Linked DNA regions of Ovis aries. The protein of the gene in region 2 interacts with the protein of the main gene of each other region in a biochemical or structural test. Links are inferred from orthologs where the notes say so. Each region holds a gene or a part of one and is shown on either strand. Other genes may lie near its edges.

Evidence for each region.
Region 1: of the proteins of histone H2A type 2-C (region 2) and MYSM1, one has a biochemical effect on the other in vitro, tested with the Homo sapiens proteins (2 studies listed by BioGRID). The link is inferred for Ovis aries from reciprocal best matches to the Homo sapiens genes H2AC20 and MYSM1.
Region 3: the proteins of histone H2A type 2-C (region 2) and UBR2 form a complex in vitro, tested with the Homo sapiens proteins (2 studies listed by BioGRID, with this or other methods). The link is inferred for Ovis aries from reciprocal best matches to the Homo sapiens genes H2AC20 and UBR2.

Annotation. Positions count from the first base shown.
Region 1 is NC_056054.1:33,411,443-33,415,584, forward strand, and holds the start of MYSM1 (deubiquitinase MYSM1), read right to left. Parts: upstream 2,812-4,142; 5' UTR 2,802-2,811; coding exon 2,737-2,801; intron 1-2,736. UniProt on the Homo sapiens protein: Metalloprotease with deubiquitinase activity that plays important regulator roles in hematopoietic stem cell function, blood cell production and immune response.
Region 2 is NC_056054.1:99,992,173-99,994,815, reverse strand, and holds histone H2A type 2-C, read right to left. Parts: upstream 1,017-2,643; 5' UTR 964-1,016; coding exon 574-963; 3' UTR 524-573; downstream 1-523. Other genes in the region: histone H2A type 2-B, read left to right, coding at 16-408; histone H2B type 2-E, read left to right, coding at 1,287-1,667. UniProt on the Homo sapiens protein: Core component of nucleosome. Nucleosomes wrap and compact DNA into chromatin, limiting DNA accessibility to the cellular machineries which require DNA as a template.
Region 3 is NC_056073.1:16,292,525-16,296,760, forward strand, and holds the start of UBR2 (E3 ubiquitin-protein ligase UBR2), read left to right. Parts: upstream 1-1,425; 5' UTR 1,426-1,504; exon of another isoform or gene 1,505-1,648; 5' UTR 1,649-1,788; coding exon 1,789-1,866; intron 1,867-4,236. UniProt on the Homo sapiens protein: E3 ubiquitin-protein ligase which is a component of the N-end rule pathway.

The DNA.
Region 1 (4,142 bases), about 67 Mb from region 2:
TAACTTCAGAAAAGACTAGAAGAGGGTCAAAGAGACAAGAAGCAGTTAAGAGGGAGTGATTACATAGATACTAGAGAGAAGTGACAGTAACTTAGACCTAAAGCACAAGCAATGTGAACAGGAAGAAGTGAACACATCTGAGAGGATACTCAGAATCTACAGACTCTCTAATAGGAGAGAGGTAAGGAAGAAGGTTAAAATCTAGGTCTCTTCCCTGCATGAGTGGGTGGATGGTGCCATTTATTGAACTAGGGAACTTGAAGAGGCAGGTTGGGTAAGGAAAGTTTCTATAAAGTGAGATTGAGGAGCTTGTGGCTCACCCAAGGGCAAATAGATTCAGGAAAATGGATAAATGGATCTGAAGATCATGAGAGAGATTTGAGTTGGTGACAGATTTGGGCAATATCAGCCTGTTATTAGATGGAATTTAAGATTAAATGTCATTTGTGTGGGTCAAAATTGGTAGAACATTGGGAAAATTTCATATGGTCCAACTTAAACAGAAATTTAAGCCTTGAGAGATGGACTGTATGGTTAATAAGAAGTCTTATGACAAAAATTCCTTGGAAATACTATGATTTAAAGAACAAGTAGAAGAAACAGAGGATAAGAAAGAATGGTAGAAGGGAAACAAAACACTTCAATGCATCTTCTAACCTTGGTAACCAGCACTTAGCAAGGACTTAAAAGTGTGTTTTCAATTAACCCTCAAGATGTCATGATCAGCTATAACTGAAAAATTCAGAGGGGCATCTAAGTGTTTACTCACACCAAATTCCACATGATTAGAGTACCAACACTAGGGAACAACTGTCACTAGACTGTAATGTTCATGATGCTCTACAGAATTGTGTGAGACAATGACGATGACCATCAGGAACCAACAACCAGTTACTGGTTTCATGAGACTAATGTGACTGTAAGTGCCATCAGCAGACTTTGGGCTCAAACAGAACAATAAGAAAAGGAAAGAAAAAAGAAAAAGAGAAATAAAACACGATCATAAAAATAAAGAAAAACCCATGGAAAAAGGGGAAGAGTCAGTGCTCTCAGATAATCTTTAGTGTTTCCAAGGGCAGCTCATCTGCCTTGAACTTCAGATAAGAATCCCTCACACCTATTTCATACACTTATTGTGGAAAGTAAATCAAACCACGCATGCAAAAGCACTCGGTCAAGATTAACTTGATCTACACAAATGTGAAAGACTGTTATCAAAGGCTTTCTGTTCATTTGTAGAGACTTGTACTGTTTTGTCTAAACAGCTGAAGGAGACTTAGTTACTTCTCATTTTTATAGTGTTTTAAGTTCAGGAAAACTTTAAACGGCTCTGTTTCAGTCCCTCATGGACAGGGGTTGGTACTCTTCTTCACAATTTACAAAGGTGCTATTATTAGGCTGGATCATGTGAAATTGCTATTCTATAGGTCAAAAATGGTCTAAGCCTCACAATTTTACCTGGCTTAATGTAGAGACTTCTAATGAACTTGTTCATAGTTATAAGCAACACAGCTGGCTGAGTTGAGAACTGAGGTCTTCTGATCCTGACCAGTCTAAGCCTCTTCTATTACTAAAAGAGAATTCTGAAAGCACATCTTTAAAACCGCATGTATCAATTTCTTTCTCTGCAAGCAAGGAGTCAAACAGCTAGATATCTCAAGCTGGAGGCTGCTTTTTAAAAGTCACACTGGCCTGCTCTGCAGGAACTGGTACTAAATGGTGACCTCTCACTGGGTCCTCAAAATACTATCCGTGGTGGGAAGGTAAAGAACACAACACTTACAGAGCACCTCTCTTATACTAGAGCACATCCCCAAATCATTTCATTTGATCTTCACAGTAACCGTACGAAGCACATAACATGACAGTCAGCTTACACACGAGTTGTCTGAGGCCCAAAGTCACACTGCTAGTAACTGCTGCTGCTGCTAAGTCACTTCAGTCGTGTCCGACTCTGTGTGACCCCACAGACGGCAGTCCACCAGGCTCCCCCGTCCCTGGGATTCTCCAGGCAAGAACACTGGAGTGGGTTGCCATTTCCTTCTCCAGTGTATGAACGTGAAAAGTGAAAGGGAAGTCGCTCAGTCGTGTCCGACTCTTCGCGACCCCATGGGCTGCAGCCTACCAGGCTCCTCCGTCCCTGGGATTTTCCAGGCAAGAGTACCGGAGTGGGGTGCCATCTAGCTGGGTCAATACACAGCTGTCAAACTCTTAAGTCCCACCCCTTTCTTTTAGATCACGCTGCATGTCGGGAAGTTTTTCATAACTACCCCTACGTGGAAGAGGAAACCAGAGGCTAGTAGGGATAAAACGACACGCCCAAGGTCACACGGCCTGCAAGCGAGGGAACAAGAATTCCTAAGTTGGGTTCTGTCCAGGGACCGCCCCTGTTCTAATTATTTTTTGGGCGGTGGCAAGGAGGCGGGTTCTGGAGTGGCAGTAAGGGAAGAAGCAATCTAATTGCTTAAGAGTATGCAATGTGCTAGGCGCGGTCAGCGCCCTCACAGGATCCCGGTAAATGGGCTGTCCCACGCTAGTCTACGGTACCCGCCCTCTGAGCTCAGGAGGAGCCCACAGACGGGATGGGCGAGGCGCGCCTCTCAGGCCGGCAGGAGACCCTGGCCCAGGGGATAGTTTTCCACTCCCCCGGCCCTTGCCGGAACCGCGGCCTTTAGAGGGTACCTCCTCACTGCCGTGCCCCTCCTCGTCTCTGCAAGCCCAGTCTCAACTGCTCACCCAGACTGTGCCGCCGCTGGCACTAGGTCCCCTTCGATATCCACATCTGCCTCTTCAGCCGCCATGATGGGACCTGACCCCAGCCGTCCTCCCGAGAGATCCCGCGAGAAGTGGAGGGCCTGAAGGCGGGGCCATGTACGTCATGGGGCGGAGTCGACGGCTCTGCCAGTTCTTTCCAGGCTGGGGAAGCGGGGTTTCGGAGAAAAGATGCTAAGGAGTTCTGGGGTTCTGGGGTTTTGTTGAGGAGCAGCTCAGTGCTAAAGAATCCGGTTGCGATAGGCCAGTTCGATCCCTACATTGGATCCTCTGGAGTAGGAACTGGCAACCCACTTCGGTATTCTTGCTGAGAAATCCCGAAATAGTCATGCACATCTTAAAGACTAAGCTTCAACAAAAGCCTTGGCAAGCAGCGCAGGCTTGGGTTTTGAAGAGACTGTGCTCTTGCATAAATTCTTTGGCGCCTCACTCCTCTGATTTGTAAAATGGGGATAATAATAATAATCTGCTGCTGCTTAGTCCCTCAGTTATGTCCCACTCTTTGCGACCCCATGGACACAGCCTGGTGGGCTACAGTCCATGAGAATTCTCCAGGCAAGAATACTGGAGTGGGTTGCCCTGTCCTCCTCCAGGGGATCTTTACCGTCTGAGCCACCAGGGAAGAGCTAATATTTTTATCTAGAGTGCTGAAAATATCAGATTAGACCTGCTTTGAACTGTGAAGGTGGCAACAGTGATCCTTACCTGCTGGTTTTCTTTCGTTTCCTTTTTTTCTTTTTTAAGGAATTATTCAGTACTTATTGAAGTGCTGAACATCTGTTTTATCAAAAAAATTAAGGGTATAACTTATGATTACATATTTTACTTTGTAGAGATCTTTACAATTAATTAAAATATCATTCTCATGACCACTAATTTTCACAATTGCACAGTGAATTAATCCGGACTGATATTATCTACAGATGAGTTCTACAGATGAGGAAACAGGCTCTGAAAACTGAAATAACTAATGGAAAGGAAAGATAGCTGGTCAAAGACAGCTGGGACCAGAATCTAGGCCTCTTGACTCTTTACTGAGTGCTTACCCTCTACACATCATGTAGTTGGGAACTGTGAAAGACAAATGCCATTTCTCTCAAATAATTTATGGTTTCTCAAGAAATTAGATGTTGGCCTTATGGATTATTCTCCCTTGGATCACTGCCGTTATTGTAGCTGTTCATTCACTTGTCTGCCTCCACTGTTGGTTGATGAATTCACTAAGAATAAGCACTGTATCTGCTAGTCTTTTCACTAGTCCTTATACTATCATCATTCAGCAAAGTGTCTGACACACAGTAGGTGCTTGGTAAATATACTGATGAATGAGTCAATCGATTCATGGAATGAGTCCTCTTCCGACACTGTTG
Region 2 (2,643 bases):
GCAGTTTTAGCAGTAATGTCAGGCCGCGGAAAGCAGGGAGGCAAAGCTCGGGCCAAGGCCAAGTCGCGCTCATCCCGCGCTGGCCTTCAGTTCCCTGTAGGGCGAGTGCACCGCCTGCTGCGCAAAGGGAACTACGCCGAAAGGGTGGGGGCCGGCGCACCGGTGTACTTGGCGGCAGTGCTGGAGTACCTGACCGCGGAAATCCTGGAGCTGGCGGGCAACGCCGCCCGAGACAACAAGAAGACGCGCATCATCCCTCGCCATTTGCAACTGGCCGTGAGAAATGATGAAGAGCTCAACAAGTTACTCGGGGGTGTCACTATTGCCCAGGGCGGTGTCTTACCCAATATCCAGGCAGTCTTATTGCCCAAAAAAACGGAGAGTCACAAGCCTGGCAAGAATAAGTAATTAAGAGGCTTGATACCATCCCCACTCACCCCAAAGGCTCTTTTAAGAGCCACCACCAAAGTGTCAAAATAAAGGGCTGATCACAAAATAGCGCATTAGCTCTTTTTTTGAAAACTTGGGTGGCTCTAAAAAGAGCCTTTGTTCTTTGGTTTACTTTGTAAGGCTTTATTTGCTTTTGGCTTTATGGCTTTCGGTTTTCTTTGGTAATAAAACGGCCTGGATGTTGGGCAAAACGCCGCCTTGCGCGATGGTAACCTTGCCTAACAGCTTGTTCAGCTCTTCGTCGTTGCGGATGGCCAGCTGCAGGTGACGAGGAATGATGCGCGTCTTTTTGTTGTCTCGCGCCGCGTTGCCGGCAAGCTCCAGGATCTCGGCCGTCAGATACTCCAGAACCGCCGCCATGTAGACGGGCGCGCCGGCCCCCACCCGCTCAGCGTAGTTGCCTTTGCGCAGCAGGCGATGCACTCGCCCTACCGGGAACTGCAAGCCTGCACGGGACGAACGCGACTTGGCCTTCGCCCGGGCCTTGCCTCCCTGCTTTCCGCGACCAGACATGACTAAAGATAACAGTAGTACCCTTAAAGATCAAAGCCCCTCGGCAAATGTTTAAGAAAGATCAGCAATTGGAAAGCCTTTATAAGTTTTCTGAGGGGTGGGGTCAGGAACGAGCTTTTCATTGGTCCCAAATTGGCTCCTGAAACAGCCAATAAGGTTAAGAGTCGGTGTTATTCTGTAGCTATTACTGATAACGTAAGGTCTCTCCACGGACCAATGGGAATGTAAGACTTTTGGAGCCTTAATTTGCATACGGTGGTTATAAATGGATCAGGCCCGCCCATTCTCATACCTCTTTTTTTGCCAAACGGCGTTGCTTCACAATGCCTGAGCCGGCAAAATCCGCTCCCGCGCCCAAGAAGGGCTCCAAGAAAGCCGTCACCAAAGCCCAAAAGAAAGACGGCAAGAAGCGCAAGCGCAGCCGCAAGGAGAGCTATTCCATCTACGTGTACAAGGTGCTGAAGCAGGTGCACCCAGACACCGGTATTTCGTCCAAGGCCATGGGCATCATGAACTCATTTGTCAACGACATCTTCGAGCGCATCGCGGGCGAAGCGTCGCGCTTGGCGCATTACAACAAGCGCTCAACCATCACGTCTCGGGAGATCCAGACGGCCGTGCGCCTGCTGCTGCCTGGCGAGCTGGCCAAGCATGCCGTGTCCGAGGGCACCAAGGCGGTCACCAAGTACACCAGCTCCAAGTGAGTCCCTGCTGGGACGCGGCGCTCGCACGAGTCGCAAAGCCGCTTGATTTTCCAAAGGCTCTTTTCAGAGCCACCCACCTAATCACCAGAAAAGAGCCTTGTTCACTTGTTTCTCCTCAGTTCCTCACAAAGTAAGTTACTCTAGTTGGCTAAAAGTAATAGAAGATGACACACGTAGCTTTTTAAGCCCTTATGACTTGAGATTCCTGGCGCGTGACTGGCTTTGCTTTTGAATCTAGGGCGCGTCTTAACCCTCACTGCTGCTTAGCTTTCGTATGAGTCAGTTCTAAATTAGGATACTGAGACTGCTCCTAGACTTGTGTCCTGGTGGCTCTGTTGGGTACGTGTCACCGGTGTTCCAAAACGAAGTGAGTGATTTCAGCTATCCACATTTAAGAAAGGACCCCAGGACACGACCAAGCCCGGGTCTTTCGAACACTGCATCACAGCCCTGAAGAATTGCGAGTTTGGCAGCTGCGTGGGTGCCGGATCACGAATTAGGCCCTTGCGATGTGGCTTCCTGTGGACACCAGCGGTTCGGGATACTTCATACTGAGCCCGCGCTGCCTGGTCTCAGCCTTTCCCTGATTGGACATGAATATTCAAACTCTCCCGCCGCTCCGGAATTCATAGGTTCTGGTTTGCGCCGCTCACTTTGGCGCTGTGAAATTCCTGTTATTTCTTGGTTTGTGGATCATTTTTGCTTTTAATTCTCTTTTCTCGGAATATTTCGGCGTCAAGTCACCGGAAGGCACTAGTCATTTTAGTCTGGTCTCAAACGTCACCTCTCAGACACCTTCGGGAAGTTGTGTCTCTCCTTCCTGCCTCTGGTCCCTCACTATTTTATTTTCTTCCTAGCAGCTGTCAGAAATTGTTTTGCTATTAATAGTTGGTTTTTTTTTTTTTTTCTTGTTTACCATTTTCCTCAAGACCTTAACGGAAACTTTATTGGTTTGGTTTTCCTCTATATCGTCCCC
Region 3 (4,236 bases), on a different chromosome or scaffold from region 2:
CCTTCTCCCTCCCCGTACCATCCCTCTGGGTCGTCCCCGTGCACCAGCCCCAAACATCCAGTATCATGCATCGAACCTGGACTGGCGATTCGTTTCATATATGATATTAAAGTTTCTTTAAAATGCATTTTAACGGCTTTAATTCTACGTTAGGACTCTTAAAGAGGCATTATCTTTGCTTCTGGGTTATAACAATCCCAGGCTTCCTCCAGGTTGTCTCTGGTTAGGGAGCCCATTAGGGCAAGGAGGTTGGGCAAAGAAGAAGGTAACATTGTATATATATAAAAGACCCTTTCAAGATCTCTCATTCTAGGTATTTACGCATATATGCGTACTATTTTTTTTCTGGATAGAATCATAAGAAAGTATTAAAAATGTTTTTCTTTGTGGAGAAGGACTTTGGGTAAGAGGCATAGTTATCATTTTTCCCTTTAAAAATATTTCCATTGAGTTTGAAGTTCTAACTTATATATATATTAGTTTCATTTTTTAAAGCGATAACAAGGCTTATTTGGACTGTGGGATTATGGGTAATTTTTATTTCCTTAAAAGAAAAAACTTGGTAATATTATAGTTTTGTTAACAACAATAACACCCAGCAAAAAAAAAAAAAAATTCCTAAACCTGGATTCCATCAGAATTTTTTGCCTAATGTAATTCACAGCTTCTTTGTGGGATAAAGCTCATACCTAATACAACGTGTAAGCAATTTTCTGATAAACTCTAAAGGAACTGAAGACTTGTTCTAAGAAACCCACGCACCTGTCAGTCAAGAGTCTAATTACCTCTACCGAAACATAATTTCCTTTTGTGTCCAACCTAACAATGATTATCTATTTCTATAAAACGTCCCGATCAAGAGTAAATCTTTGAATTGGCTCAGTAGACTCCTTCTCCTTTGCAACAAGATGTGTAATAAATTTTAATAAGCGGTCATAACTAAATCACTTGAAACGTTTCCTTTCACACCAGTTTAACATGTTTTTAAAACCTTCAAAATCCTGGGGGATGTACACCTTCGTTACCAGTGTTGATGAATGACAGGGCCATAAACACTATAGAAATGTAACTATAAGAATGTTTATTCATTTGACAAGTATTTGAGTTCGTACCCACTCCAGGCTTTGAAAAGCACTGGAGTTCTACCACGTGCCAGGCACCGTTCTAAGCTCTGGGATATAAAAATGAACAAACGGTGTTGAGGGATAAAACTACAGTACCACACAGTATCTCGCGCTTCTGCCTCTTCCCAGGTGGTCTCTTCCCACGATTCTAGCGGTGCGGAAAAGCCCCGCCCGCTTATCTGCCATTTCTCCAAGCTCTAAGGAGACGAAGGGACTACAACTCCCACAATGCCATCCGGGGGGATGTCCTTGTAAGGGTTCCACTTTTTCCCTGGCCTTGCGGAGGACGACTACAACTCCCAGAGTGCTCTGCTTCCTCTTTGGGGTGTTATTGCCCCTTTCACGGTGCCGGACGCTGTAGAAACGGGCAGGAGTGCCAGGTCCGATGTTTTCTGTGCCCTTCCCCGAGGCAGGGACGAGGCGGTGACTTGACTCTTGGGCGCAGAGCCCGGGAGGGAGCGCAGGAAACGCTGTCCCTTCTGCCCGGCTCACCTCGCGCTACTCTTCCTCTTCTCCACCCGCAGCCACCTGAACTCCTGCTCAAGACCGACCGCCCCAGGCAGGGTGGTGGCTTTGCGCCCCACCTCCCCCCCGGGCCGTGGCGAGGCCGCTGCCCTCGGGGCGGCAGTAGCGGCGTCAGCGCTGGGGAGGCGAAGGAGGGAAGATGGCGTCGGAGCTGGAGCCTGAGGTGCAGGCCCTCGACAGGAGTTTGCTGGAATGTTCAGCTGAGGAGACCGCGGGGGTGAGTGCCTGGACCGGGTCTCGGATGTCCGGCCGTGGCAGGCCGCGCCCTGCGGGAGGAACCGACTCCTGGGAATCCCCGAGTGGCGGGCCCTGACTTGGGGTGACGACCCGGCTCGCGGGGCCTCGCCGTGTAGGGTAGGACTTTCCCTGGCCCGAGGAGGCCCCAGATCCTGCCCCTCTCCTTCCCTCTTTATCTACAAGTAGCCGGCAGCGCTGCTGGGTGCACCAGCCACCCTCGCGTTCCTTCCGCTCTTCCATTATTCCTCCTTTTCCCCACAGTCCCAGTAAGTCCCCCAGCACAGGGCCTTTGCCCTCTGTGCCAACTCTGCTTCCTGGGTTTTTGGATACTTTGTCTTCCTGAATCGTTTTCCGGAAATAAGCGGAGCCTTGCCTCCCCATTTGAAACCTGCCGCCTTTACTTTGTTTCTGGGACCGTTCTTGGCATCCAAAGATGCCAGCGACACTGTTCTCCGTCTTTACCCCTCCTTTTCAGTGTGTTTTTGCCCTGGTTTGGTCAGTCGACGTTACTGAATGTGCGAAGAGTTAGTGTCTTGACACATTTATGGAGTGTGAGAAAGTGGTCGTTGAGACTGGGAGATTAAAACAATAATTCGTTTAGGAGTTGGGGGTAGTTGGACGGGGAACAAACGTTATATAACTTTGAGAGAGCGGCTGTCAGTAAATGGAAGCTAATAATGTGGCCACAGCATGGTGAGAGCAGTTAATGCCCCAAACTTAAAGCATTCAAAACCAGTCTTGTACTGAACCTGTAATCTGAATATGCTCATATAAGGAGCAGAGTTATAAAACAATTAATAAAACTCGATGATATCTTTCCTCCAGAAGGACAGGGAACACCCATTAGAACAGATTGCCCAGAATGATTATGAATGGACCAAAACAGCTTAGGCCCCACCTTTCGTGCTTCCGATTTTAAAAAACTATTAATAGGGAGGAAGTGACCTTTGAGCACAAACTGAATGTTAGGAACAAAATTGTAGTAGGGCACTATGGGGCTGTTGGTTAGTGAGTTATTTTGGGCGAATTGATGAGGACACTAGAGTCACAGGGGAAGTAAATGTCAGGAGTAGAGTTGAAAAGTTTCAAGAAACACGTTGTTGAATGATGCATTTTTGTTTTTAAACCAGCTTGCTTAGTTCCATTTTCATTTACTTTCTGCTTAATATTGCAACAACCCAAGGATTTTCCCCGTCTGCCTTTCATTTATCGAGAGATTTGAAAAAAAAAACAACCGAAAGCTGTGCTTAAAGTGAATAGTAAAATGATAACAGCTGTTCCCTATCCATGTCGTCCTTTCAGTATCCATGTTGATATCTGTCCGGTTATTTACCTGACATTTTTTTTTTCCTCCCGCCGAATTTTGCCTGTGACCTAGTGGTACAGGCTATGTACTCTGTTTTCCCAGTTCTAAAATTGCAAGCTGCTATACACCTAAAACTAACACAGTATCGGTAATCAACTATACTCCAATATGAAATAAAATTTTAAATAAAAGTGCAAGTTATTCAGTGAGAGCTTCTCAAATTTGTTGAGATTTCCTGAGTGAGCAGTTATAAAAGCAATGCTAGAGACCAGTGCTCCTAGTCCTTGTGCAGTGAAATTCTCAGTCAGATGTAGTGGGGGGAATTAAGGGAAATGCAATCAAAATTTAGTACTCTGGACTTGGAGTTTGTAAAGATCAGAGTCTGAGCTACACTTTAGTTTTGCTTTGTTTCCTTTTAAATGGATTTCTGAATAATAAGATGGGAAAAAATTTACTCTGAAGGCCAACAGAATTTCTTAAAGAAGACTCAGGCTAGTATTAAAATACAGGATTTTTCAAGCAGTATAATTTGCCCTTACTTTGTGACGCGTTTATTGTCTGTATTTGGTTAAAACAGCATAATGCTTTAGTATTCTCCCAGCTTTAGCTCCAGCCCAGCCTTTGTCACAAATTAAAATGAATAAAGTTTTCTCAGGTTAAAATAAACTTTAGAGAGAATAAGCAAATAATAAATAATTATTGCAGCCTTTAGACCTCTGTAGCTGGTAATTGGTTGGGATCACATCCGTCTAAAATTACTAATAAGCACTGGTGTCATTTTCCCACACTGTATTTACACACTGGCTTTTCTTATTTGTATGAGGAGGAAGGACTTTTGTGACCCCATCTATTCTTTACTAGAATGCCTCTCAGAAGTATTTAAGCACTCCAGTACTTTTAAGTTTAGGATAGAAAAGTGACTGGCCCTATGTTCTAGTTTTCTCTTTCCTTTGGTAGAGTTGATTCTGCAAGTATGTTCAGTTCAGTCGCTCAGTTGCGTCCGACTCTTTGCTACCCCGTGGACTGCAGCATACCAGGCTTCCC